Linked DNA regions of Mus musculus: region 2 is reported to be linked to region 1. Evidence: microRNA targets listed by miRTarBase, many of them from high-throughput screens and not tested one by one. Region 1 holds a microRNA gene; the other region holds the end of a gene's coding sequence.
The links. Region 1 holds the annotated microRNA mmu-miR-505-5p (GGGAGCCAGGAAGUAUUGAUGUU, at 1,718-1,740, opposite strand). A microRNA usually pairs through its seed, bases 2 to 8, with sites in the 3' UTR of a target mRNA and lowers its output. Matches are read on the target gene's strand: a 7mer-m8 pairs with bases 2 to 8, a 7mer-A1 pairs with bases 2 to 7 and ends in A, and an 8mer does both.

Region 1 (5,389 bases):
CACTGAACAACTCTTCCAGCTATGTTATGGACTAGATGTTGGTGACCCTTCCCTCCCAAATTTATATGCTGAAGTCTAGCTCTCATCATGATATTATGAAGAACTTTGGGGAAATTGATTAGGTGATGTGGGTAGAACTACGAGAAATTGATTAGTATTGGTCAACTAAAGTGAAGAAGAGTCGATGCCTCTCTCTTTGCAAGTGTCTACTTCACATGCTACTCAAGAGGCCAAAGCCAGGCATGACGATGCATGTCCACGATTCCCAACACTGAGAAGGGGGAAGGCAGGAGATTTGGGAGTTTGAGATCAGCCTGGGCTACCTGGGCTACATGCATCCCTGACTCAACTAGTCAGTATCAATCAGATACTTCATATAAAGATTGATCTTACATGTATATCTTCTATCTCAAGAACAGAGCTTGTACCGTATAATCCTCTATAGCCCTTAACAGGACATGAATATTCAAATAAAAGCTTATGACTCATAAAATATTGTCAGAAAAGAAATTTAAGCTAGTAGGCACAGTGGCATAGTCCTAGTTACTTGAAAGGCTAGGTCAATCCCTCCCCACCCATGTGTGTGTGTGTGTGTGTGTGTGTGTGTGTAAGAGGGGGGGAGGGAGGAAGAGAGAGAAAGAGAGAGTGGGGTATCAACCTTCAAATGTTACTTCAATACAAGGGCTCCAGCTTTGGTGAGTAGACTTCTAGAAATTCTCTGGTCTCAGCCTCTAATCTCCCAGTAGGAAAGGCTACACTGAGAATATGGACTTAATGTTTGTTTGTTTTGCTTTGTTTGAGACAACATTCCTCTGTATAGTCCTGGCTATCCTGGAACTTGGTTTGTAGACCAGGCTGGCCTCCAACTCAGAGATCTGCCTGCCTCCTAAGTGCTGGAATTCAAAGCTTTGTGACACTACACCTGAATGGATGACAAACTCTTGAACTACCACTTCTAGCTGGTTTTGTGGGTTCTGAGGATCTGAATCAAGTGCTTTTGTCCATTGAGCCATCTCCCCAGCCTGTTTTCTTTAAAATGAAAGGAAAATGAGCTGAAGTAAATTAAATTGTGCACTATACTACAAACAACTTAATCCACATTGCCACAAAGCAGATTAATTGTGAAGCTTAAAAGACATGCCCACTGCTCACACAACAGGTATACCTTATATAATCTTTTCTAGCCAGCTGTTATTTATTTGTGACAATTCCCTACTGGCTTCTACTCCCTGGTGATCTACAGGATTGCTGCAAAATTGTTACTTTTCCTTTACACCAGTAAATAGCATGAAACTTGAGACTAACCAGAAATATATTTCTGGGGATTTCCTTGATTATTCAACTCAAAACTAATCCCAAAATAAAAGAATAGTTACAAATATTGCCCTAAATTTATTATCCCAAGACTTTCTTTCTCTCCATATATGTATGTGTTACGTATGTATGTTTATTTATATATGGGGCTATTATAATAAAAATACTCATTAGTGTGCTTGCTATGTGGAATTATACTGCCTAAGAGGATATTTATACTTACTGCCTATGAACTAAGATATGTACAGGATGAGATGTGAGAAAGGTGCAAATGAATGTTGGAAAACATGGACAAATATATGGAACATGGAGATCTGAGCAGTTATAGAAGTACAAACAGAATCCACGAACTTGGTGATACTCCAGAGAGAAAACCAGCAAGTGTTGACGCTAACCTGGCAGAAACATCAATACTTCCTGGCTCCCCCACTGGGTGCATCAATTTACTACCGGAGGTTGCTCTTCTGCAAGTGACAAACAGGGAATGCTTTCAGCAATATGAAAAGAAATGACTCATTATGGGGAAGCATGGTTGTGGAAGCACTGAAAAGGTATGATTTCTATTAGTAGCATATACAGACTCAATCAACTCCAAGGCTGGCTAGCTTATTGACCTCGGAAAAGTAATTTTTTTTCAATGTCAATACCATATAGCACCCTTCAAACAAAGGTGAGATTTATTTCACAAACAATTGCAAATCCTTCATAATATGCATCTCCTCTCTCCCATGCTCCTAGTTTGGGATATTTGAAATGGAGTCCCCTATGGCCTAAGCTATAGCCTAGAACTCTGTATGTCTGAAGTTGGTATTGTTATCCTCCTATCACTGGGTTTGTTGGCATGTACCCCCATGCCTGGCCTATACATTCTTATATTCTTAGTACTAAATTCTAAGGATTATCCTGAATTCAAATAAATTACACTTACCACAGTGAGTAAAATGACATAAAGCAGATGGGCATGGTAGCACATACATATAATCACATCACTTGAGAAGCTAAAGCACGAGGATTCAGAGTTCCAGGCCAGCTTGGGCTAAAGAATGAGTACAGGTCAATCTGAACTATAAAGACAACTCTATCTCAAAAACAAACAAAAGTAACACAAAGCTCTGCTAGAGTTAACACTGCAGTTTTAGTCTTCAAAGTAGATTTGATGTATTAGTTGAATTAGAAAATGTGTTATCATAGGGCCCCCAAAAGAGGAGCTAGAGAAAGTACCCAAGAGCTGAAGGGGTCTGCAACCCTATAGGTGGAACAACAATATGAACTATCCAGTACCCCCCAAGAGCTCGTGTCTCTAGCTGCATATGTAGCAGAAGATGGCCTAGTCGGCCATCACTGGGAAGAGATGCCCCTTGGTCATGCAATCTTTATATGCCCCAGTACAGGGGAACGCCAGGGACAAGAAGTGGGAGTAGGTGGGTAAGGGAGTGGGGGGGAGGGTATGGGGGACTTTAGGGATAGCATTTTAAATGTAAATGAAGAAAATATCTAGTAAAAATTTTTTTAAAAAGAAAATGTTTTATCAACTGTACTTAACAAAAAAAGCATCCAAATGTACTTAGAATTTTAAAAGCTGAAGATAGTATATTAATTAGTTTTATGAAACACCAAGAAAAGGGAATGGTTTAAAGGTTCTCCTTCTGACGAATAGAAAAAAGTTTCAATAAAGGGCAAACTTTTTCTGGCCACCTACTGGGGTGCATAATTTTTTTCCTCATTCAAAATAATGGTGTAGCATTGTGGTGGTTTGAATATGCTGGGCCCATGGGCACTATTAGGAGGTGTGGCCTTGTTGAAGGAAGTGTGCCACTGTGTAGGCAAGTTTTGAGGTCTTCTTTAGTCCTCAAGCTCTACCCAGTGCAGATGAGTCCCTCCTCCTGGCTGCATGCAAGAGATAGTCTCCTCCTTGCTGCCTTCAGATCAAAATGTAGAACTCTCAGCTCCTTCTCCAGCACCATGTGTATCTGGATGCTATCATGCTTCCAGCCATGATGATAATGGACTGAACCTCTGAAACTGTAAGCCAGCACCTAATTAAATGTTTGCCTTTATAAGAGTTGCCATGATCACAGTATCTCTTCACAGCAAAGAAACCCAAACTAAGACACATACTATCCAATAAAAAGGATATTTTTTCTGCTATATGCTTTTATTAAAATAAAAAGCCTATTCTAAAACACAGAGGCCTCTTAGTGGCTGCTTTTTCAACTGATAACTAGACAGCTTTTGTTACTAAGTCAGTTCAAAGCAATTCAAAAGTACTTACTGAACATCTTATCTATAGTTTACCTGTGCTAGTGTAAAATCATTGTCAAGAACACTGTTTGAATTTTTTCAAGAATATATTGGTGAAGAAGACTGGACTAGGAAGACACTGCCACATTAATACCTCAAGATAATGTGGCCTAAGAAACAAATGATACCTGCTTGAACCAGGCACACATCTTCAACCCTCCCATATTCCATTGTAAGTATAGGGCATGATATCAATGATAGCCTATACATTAAAACTACAAAACAACGTCCTAAACCAGATATTCTTGGTCTAACACCATGCAAAAACTGCATCTTTTATAATCAAGAAGACAGCCAAACTGGCAATCCATCCATACACTGCAGTAATTGAGGGGCTGTCTGCCAGTGTGAATAAGGCATCCTGTGCCATATCTGCAGTGCTGAACACTCATTCATCATTAATCTGCAGTAGTATTATCATATGCTGCAGCTGTACTAATATATTTGCTTTATGATCACTGCTGACCTTCACTTACATCAGGAGAGGAAATAAATCTTAAGAGAGCAATAAACTTGTGAAGCACCCCGTTACCTTGGAAAAGTCAGAATTCTCTTTCATCCAACCAGAGAAAGCATCCCATTTCAGGGATTCCAGACATCAGAAGTTATCTGTTTTAAAGCACTACTCATGTACAGGAAACTCAAACAACATCAGAAAAAAAATGTGTTTATTTTGCATCTTATATGTCTGCCCTCTTTGAAAAAACTGATCAACCATGGTTGATAAGCAACCAGCCTTGACTTTTTTCCACTCAACAAAACAGTATTTGAATTGGCAAACCAAGCTAATTCTTTAAACATCATAAAGACAAAGGGCTTCTTCCAAGGGCCACTGGTCATACTGCCCCAGAGAGGTGGTTTAATACCCCTTCTGGCTTCCACAGACAGCAGGCACATACATGGTTCACAGACACAGACGCAGGCAAGATACCCATACCCATAAAAATAAAATTTAGAAAATACTGAAAAATAATCTGGCATACACTTTTAATGCCAGCACTCAGAAAACAGGTGGCTCTGTATGATTTAAAAGCCAGCCTGGTCTACTTATAATTTCCAACTCACTCAGGGCTACATATTAAGACCCTCTCTCAAAATAGAAAGAAAGAGAGGGAAGAAAGGAAAGGACAGAACAGGACTAGACCACTCCAGACCGGACTGGATTGGAACAGCGCAGCGCAGCGCAGCACAGAAGCCTAAAGGGATGGCTCAGCTTTAGAATACTACCTGATCTGGAAATGGGCCTAACGGCTATCTTTTCTACAAGCATTTGGATGGAAGCTGTGGAATAGAAGATTTACACATAAGATTGTTTTACCATCGTAAACATTTGAATAAATTTCTACACACACCCCAAAGACTGTGACAGGTTTTCCAGAAGATTCAGGCTCAGTATCTATATAGAGGCAAAGACATTCATACACTGAAAATAAGAATAAATTTAAAAGTGAAGGAAGAAAATTAGCAATAACACAAACAAAATCAACAAATGAGAAATGCTTACTGAAGGCATTTAGGAAACACTCTTAGTTTTGGACTGTTTAAATCAATAAAAAAATATGTCACTCACTCTCAGTTTTGGACTGTTTAAATCAATAAATAAATATTTCGGGCAGGAGAGATGGCTCAGCGGTTAAGAGTACTGACTCCTCCTTAGCCGGGCGTGGTAGCACACCCCTTTAATGCCAGCACTTGGGAGGCAGAGGCAGGCCGATTTCTGAGTTCGAGGCCAGCCTGGTCTACAAAGTGAGTCCCAGGACAGCCAGGGCTATAC
Region 2 (5,389 bases), not on the chromosome of region 1:
ATTAGATACTATGTCATGATCAAGAAGGATTTACTGACAGTGTTAGGATGACTTAACAGAGTAACAATGACAGAAATCTGATAGGTTGGAGAGAGCTTAGTTGGTAAAAGTAGATTGCCTTGCAAGCAGGAAGACTCATGTTTAGTCCCCAGGATCTGTGGAAAGTCATGTGATGGTACACATCTGAAGAATAAAACCTAATTAGAGAGTTCCAGGACAGTCAGAGATCCTGACTCTAAAAACAAGGTGGATGATGCCAGAGGGTTGTCCTTTGACCTCCACAACAGTGTGCATGTATGCACCGACAGACACTTGTGCATATGTACATCTGTATAATTTAAAAAATGCATACATACATACATACATACATACATCAGTGAAATATACACTACCAAGATGAAAGAAAAACCAGTGATTTCAAAGGATACAGAAAAATCATTTCATAAAATTCAAATATTGTCGTAATAAAAACTGAATAAATTAAAAGTAGAAGGAAGGTCAACAATGTAAAAGCCATACATGAAGGTCCCACATTATACTCAGTGAAGAGAGACAAAGCCCTTTCTTTAGTCCCATAAAACCAGGATGCCCATTTCATCACTAGTATTCTCCCAATACTAAATTCTAACAATCAGGCAAGAGGAAGAAGTGAGAGGTATCCAAATGGAAAGGAAGAGGTAAAATTGCCAGTTGCATTTGTTCATGAACAATGATCCTAAATGAAAATTAGGAAAATAGAACAATTTATAACAACATCACAAGGAATTAATATACTTAGGAATAAATTCAACCATGGACTCTAAATGGAAAGACAGTTCTGTTTAAGAACCATAAGACTTAACATTGTTAAAACTCAGGACTTCCTCAAAAGGCAAATGTAACCCAATCTCTGTTGAAAACCCAATGACAGCTATACAGACAAGTCATACAAAACCTCAAAGAAGCCCAGAGTCCAAACATATCGAATGGAAAAGTGGAGGGGCCCAGAAGGATGGCTCTTCAGGTAAAAGTGTGGGCAGTGCAAGCCACATAACTCAGGGGGAAGAAGAACCTATTCCTGAAAGTTGTCTTCTGACGTCCACATGCAGCTGTGGGGCAGGCACGTACATATTCATACACACTTTCCCCTTCATTTCAAGGAATCCCAACAACCAAAACAATACTGGAGTGAATAAATCATATTACTTGACTTCAAATTTTACTATAAAGTTCCTGAAGTAAAAACAGGATAATGAGGATAAAACAAAACAAAATGAACTAAAAGTCTGGAGCAAAATATACAAGAAAACCCTCATACTGTCAGATACGTTTTGATAAGGGATCCAAGAGCAGTAAGGGTCAGTCTTTCAACAAAGATGTACAGAAATAAAAGTAAACTTTCTACAACATAAAATTATCTCAAATGGATCAGACTTAACAGTAGGGCCAAAGTTACAAAAGTCACTTAAAAAAGCACAAGGCAAAGCATTATCACCTATACATAGAAACAGGCTGGTGAGATAGCTCAAATGGTCAAAATCCTTGCCACTAAAGTCTTGCAACCTGTCTCATCCTTAGAATCCAAGTAAATAAAGGTCGAAGGCAAGAACTCCATAAAATTGTGATTTTCCATATGCATACCATGGTTCCCCTCCCCCCATAAATTAAATTCTAGGTTCCTAGAATAGTCTAAATCAGAGGCAGAAAGCAGAATGAACTTGTCAAGAGCTGGTGGAAGGAGCTAAGGTGTTTGTTGTTTGAGGCAGGATCTATGCAAGTCTTAACTGGTCTGGAACTCTCTATAAAGACTAGGATGACTTTGAACTCTGAAATTGTCCTGCTTCTGTCTGCTTAGTGCTGGGATTAAAAACGTGCACTACTGTGCCCAGTACAGCTAAAGTTTGTAAGATGAAGGTGGCTCATACCACTGTGAACCCAGTCAATGCACCTAAGCTGTATGGTTAAAAGTGGTAAAGATACAAATCTTTTGCCAAAATTAAAGCATTTTACAAACAAACCAAAAAACAACCCAAACCAAAAAGTGACTACCCAGCATTCCATACAAGAGGTCAAAGTTAATGTGGCCAATCTTGAGACGAACTGTCAAGTAGCCCAGGCTGGCTTTGTTCTTGCCATGTAGCCAGGCCAGGTTGGCAAGGTGACAGGCCAGATATTTGTGGTACTGGGGATGGAACCCAGACTTAGTGCGTGCTAGGCAAGCACTCTACCAACAGAGCTGTATGATCTAGCCCCTAAAAACCATGGGTTGTTTCTATTCTCAGACAGGGTTTCTCTGTGTAGCTCTTGCTGACCTAAAATGCAATCAAAGCAGGATGGCCTCAAACTCAAGAGATCCACCTGCCTCTGCTTCCCGAATGCAGGCATTAAAGATGTGCACTGCCCCGCCACAAAACATGTTTTTAAGAGAAATATGCTTAGATATGGAGCTTGAGAACAAAGGTTCTTGATAAACTATACTCACATGCTCTGCAAAAGAAATCTTGGATATAGAATATAAAATGTGGCACACTGAAAAATATTGAAGGGTAAATGGGAGCTAATTTTAGTGTTCTAGAAACTATAGTAAATGGAAACTATGAAGGCAATGAATGGGTCAAGCTTGGGGACCCCCCCCCCCCAATCCACACAGCAAAGGTAATTTATAAAGAAATTAGCATCTTTCCCTTCAAGTAGTGCAGAACCATCTCCTTCAATCAAGGGCTTATCACCTGCTGGTTATATTTACTCCCATTAACATGGTGTTACGTGAAGCTCATCCCAAGACACCAAAATAACTCTTAAAAACTTGCTTTACATGTCAGAACTGTTTTGAATTCATTAGATGCTTTTATTGTTTTTAGTTAATGAAATTAAACAAAGCCAGAGGTAGTTTTTGCCACCACCTAGTCTGTAACTGTTGGCTCTGTAGGTTTCTGCTTCACACTCCATTTGCTCTTGCATGCTGAGTGTACTTTAATGAGGCTTTATGAGGCTCTTTTCTTTTTTCTCTCTCTCTTTTTAAAAGACAGGGTTTCTCTGTGTAGCCCTGGCTGTCCTGGAACTCACTCTGTAGGCCAGGCTGGTCATGAACTCAGAGGTCAGCCTTCTTCTCCCTCCCAAATGCTGAGATTAAAGGTGTGTGTCACCACACCAGGCTTGAGAGGTTCTTATGGAGTGTTCTAGTCCATGAAGTCCACATTCCTTCAATTGTCCAAAGGCCATTGTGGCCAATAATAATCTATTTTTTTAAATCAAGGCTCCAGTTTGTACTAGAAGAGGACTTAAGTAATGAATGAGTTACTGATAAAACTTTCTTGATCTATAGAAATCTCTCATGATTAAGAATTCTCAAAACCAAGTAAGAAACTATAAATAGTTTCTCCTTTTTCTATTTGTCCAATTGCTATATGTAACTAATTTTCAATTATATCTGTATTTTCTTAACTTTTTCTCCCCACAGCTTAACTCTTCAGATTTAAACAAACAAAGCATCTCTAACAAGAGAAATAAAAAGTATGCTTGTTGTATTTCCAACTCTACTGAGATACCATCTTTATTTGAACAGTCTTTGAGTAACTCAAAGTTATTGTTGGAAGAGCTCCCAAAATTCCTGCCTCTGCCTCCAAAGTGCTGAGATTATAGGCATATACAGTGGTATACAACACAATTCTGATACCAAATGCTCGGTGTTAGTGTAAGAATTGACAGTTCTAGGGATCAGATTTCCTCCACAAGACTGTCCCAACTTCAGACATAGACTGCAAGTGATATCTTTAGACCATGAAAATTCCAGGGTAGCTATAAACTTCCAGGCAAGTTCCCAAGAATTTCTTGGTTTAAAAACCTGCTGAATGACTCATAGAACTTGGAAAAGCACTATGTCTTTCAATAAAAGGTTATACTTATAACTGATCTTATTAGAAAAGATACAAATTAAGCCAACCAGGTCAATGAAGATTCAGGAGTAGTATGGAGGGTGGTGCAGAGCTTCTGTGCCTTTGTTCTCTTTGCACATCAACATAGTTGCAGTATCCAGAGCAGTTAAGAGTCTTGCCATGTAATCCAGGCTAGCCTCAAACTCATGACCCTCTTATTTCAACATCAGTCTCCAAAATGCTGGGATTATAGGTGTGCAAGGCACCTGACTTGTCCAGAGTTCTTTTCTTTACTATAGCTTCAATACAAAGGTATGGCTGGTTAATCAAACAGGCAATACGACTAGGTCAAGCATATTTCTGCTGACCAGTCTTAGAGCGAACTTAGGGCCCTACGATGTGCCAAATCAAGAGTATAACAAAGATAGTTCAAGAATTGTAAAGGTTTGAGATATTCCTTGTCAGGAGCCAGGAACAAAGGCCAGACAAATTCCTCATATCATACTTACACACTGAAACGGACTGGCTTTTGATCTCACAGAGAATAGTGTCTAAGACAATGATGAGACAACCCCCCAAAACCATAATGAAATTTTATTACGTACAGTTGATAGAAGCAGGAGTAGTAAGTACTCTTCTGTACAAAGCAGACAACTGGTCTTAAATACAACGGAGAGAAATGTTAGTCCTACAACAACAGATGATACAAATCGAACCATTTAGAGACACACTAAGACATTTAAAATTATCTTCTTTCTCCATAGTCCACTGTGCATTTCTTTCTTTTAGAGATGGGGACACGTCCCAGGCAAGATCACAATGGCATTTTATTGCCCTCGATGCTGATTTTCACTGCATGTGCAGATCTGCTTTTTTTCCTGATATCTGTGAACTTTCTCATCTGTTTATCCAGTCGACTGATACCTTTCTTGGAGGATGCCTGAAACTAAGATTGGGGAAAATTGAAGAACAAATTATTGAAATATGTAAATCTAGCAGTGAGAAGAGCCTGAAACTTAACAATAACCAGAACATGCTTTGGTGACAAGAACAAAGTGTTAGGAGAAACCTACTGAACTCTCAGTGATGATTAACTGGTTACTGTCCGTGCTTTACTTTTAATTTTGCCACAATCCATAGAAACTTCCCAAATGACAGGAGGAAGAAATACAGAGACTATACTCTTCCCAATCCCATCAATGACATCTGACAGGCTAGTTGCCTGACATACAATTTCAAACAATTCTGGTATTAAAAAACAAACACCAAAGACAAGTTATTAGAGAAAGACTTTAAACATAACCAACACAGGCAAACTCTGAGGTGCTAAAGTTCTAGACTCAGCCTTGGGGTGAGTGTCTCTGCTCTGCTTCAGTGGTACCAAGAATCCTGTGCAAACTATACCTGTGGTCGCTACGACTGTTAGGATATTTTCACTTGCTTTTACAGTTAAAAGCTTAGTTTTTGTTGTTGTGCTTTGTTTAAAACAAATATTTAAAAATATTTCAAGCTGGGCGGTGGTGATGCACGCCTTT

Region 2: the mRNA of Iws1 is a reported target of mmu-miR-505-5p. Seed matches in the 3' UTR shown: 7mer-m8 at 4,319-4,325.

Annotation. Positions count from the first base shown.
Region 1 is chrX:60,392,734-60,398,122 of GRCm38, forward strand. It overlaps Mir505 (microRNA 505), which reads right to left and starts at 1,759; the gene lies at 1,670-1,759. The region is part of intron 1 of Atp11c (ATPase, class VI, type 11C); the gene reads right to left.
Region 2 is chr18:32,096,561-32,101,949 of GRCm38, reverse strand. Iws1 (IWS1, SUPT6 interacting protein) reads right to left here. Exons shown (of 14, transcript NM_173441.3): 14 at 1-4,800. The coding sequence ends at 4,669. Among named protein-coding and RNA genes, the nearest start is that of Iws1, 32 kb to the right of the region's middle.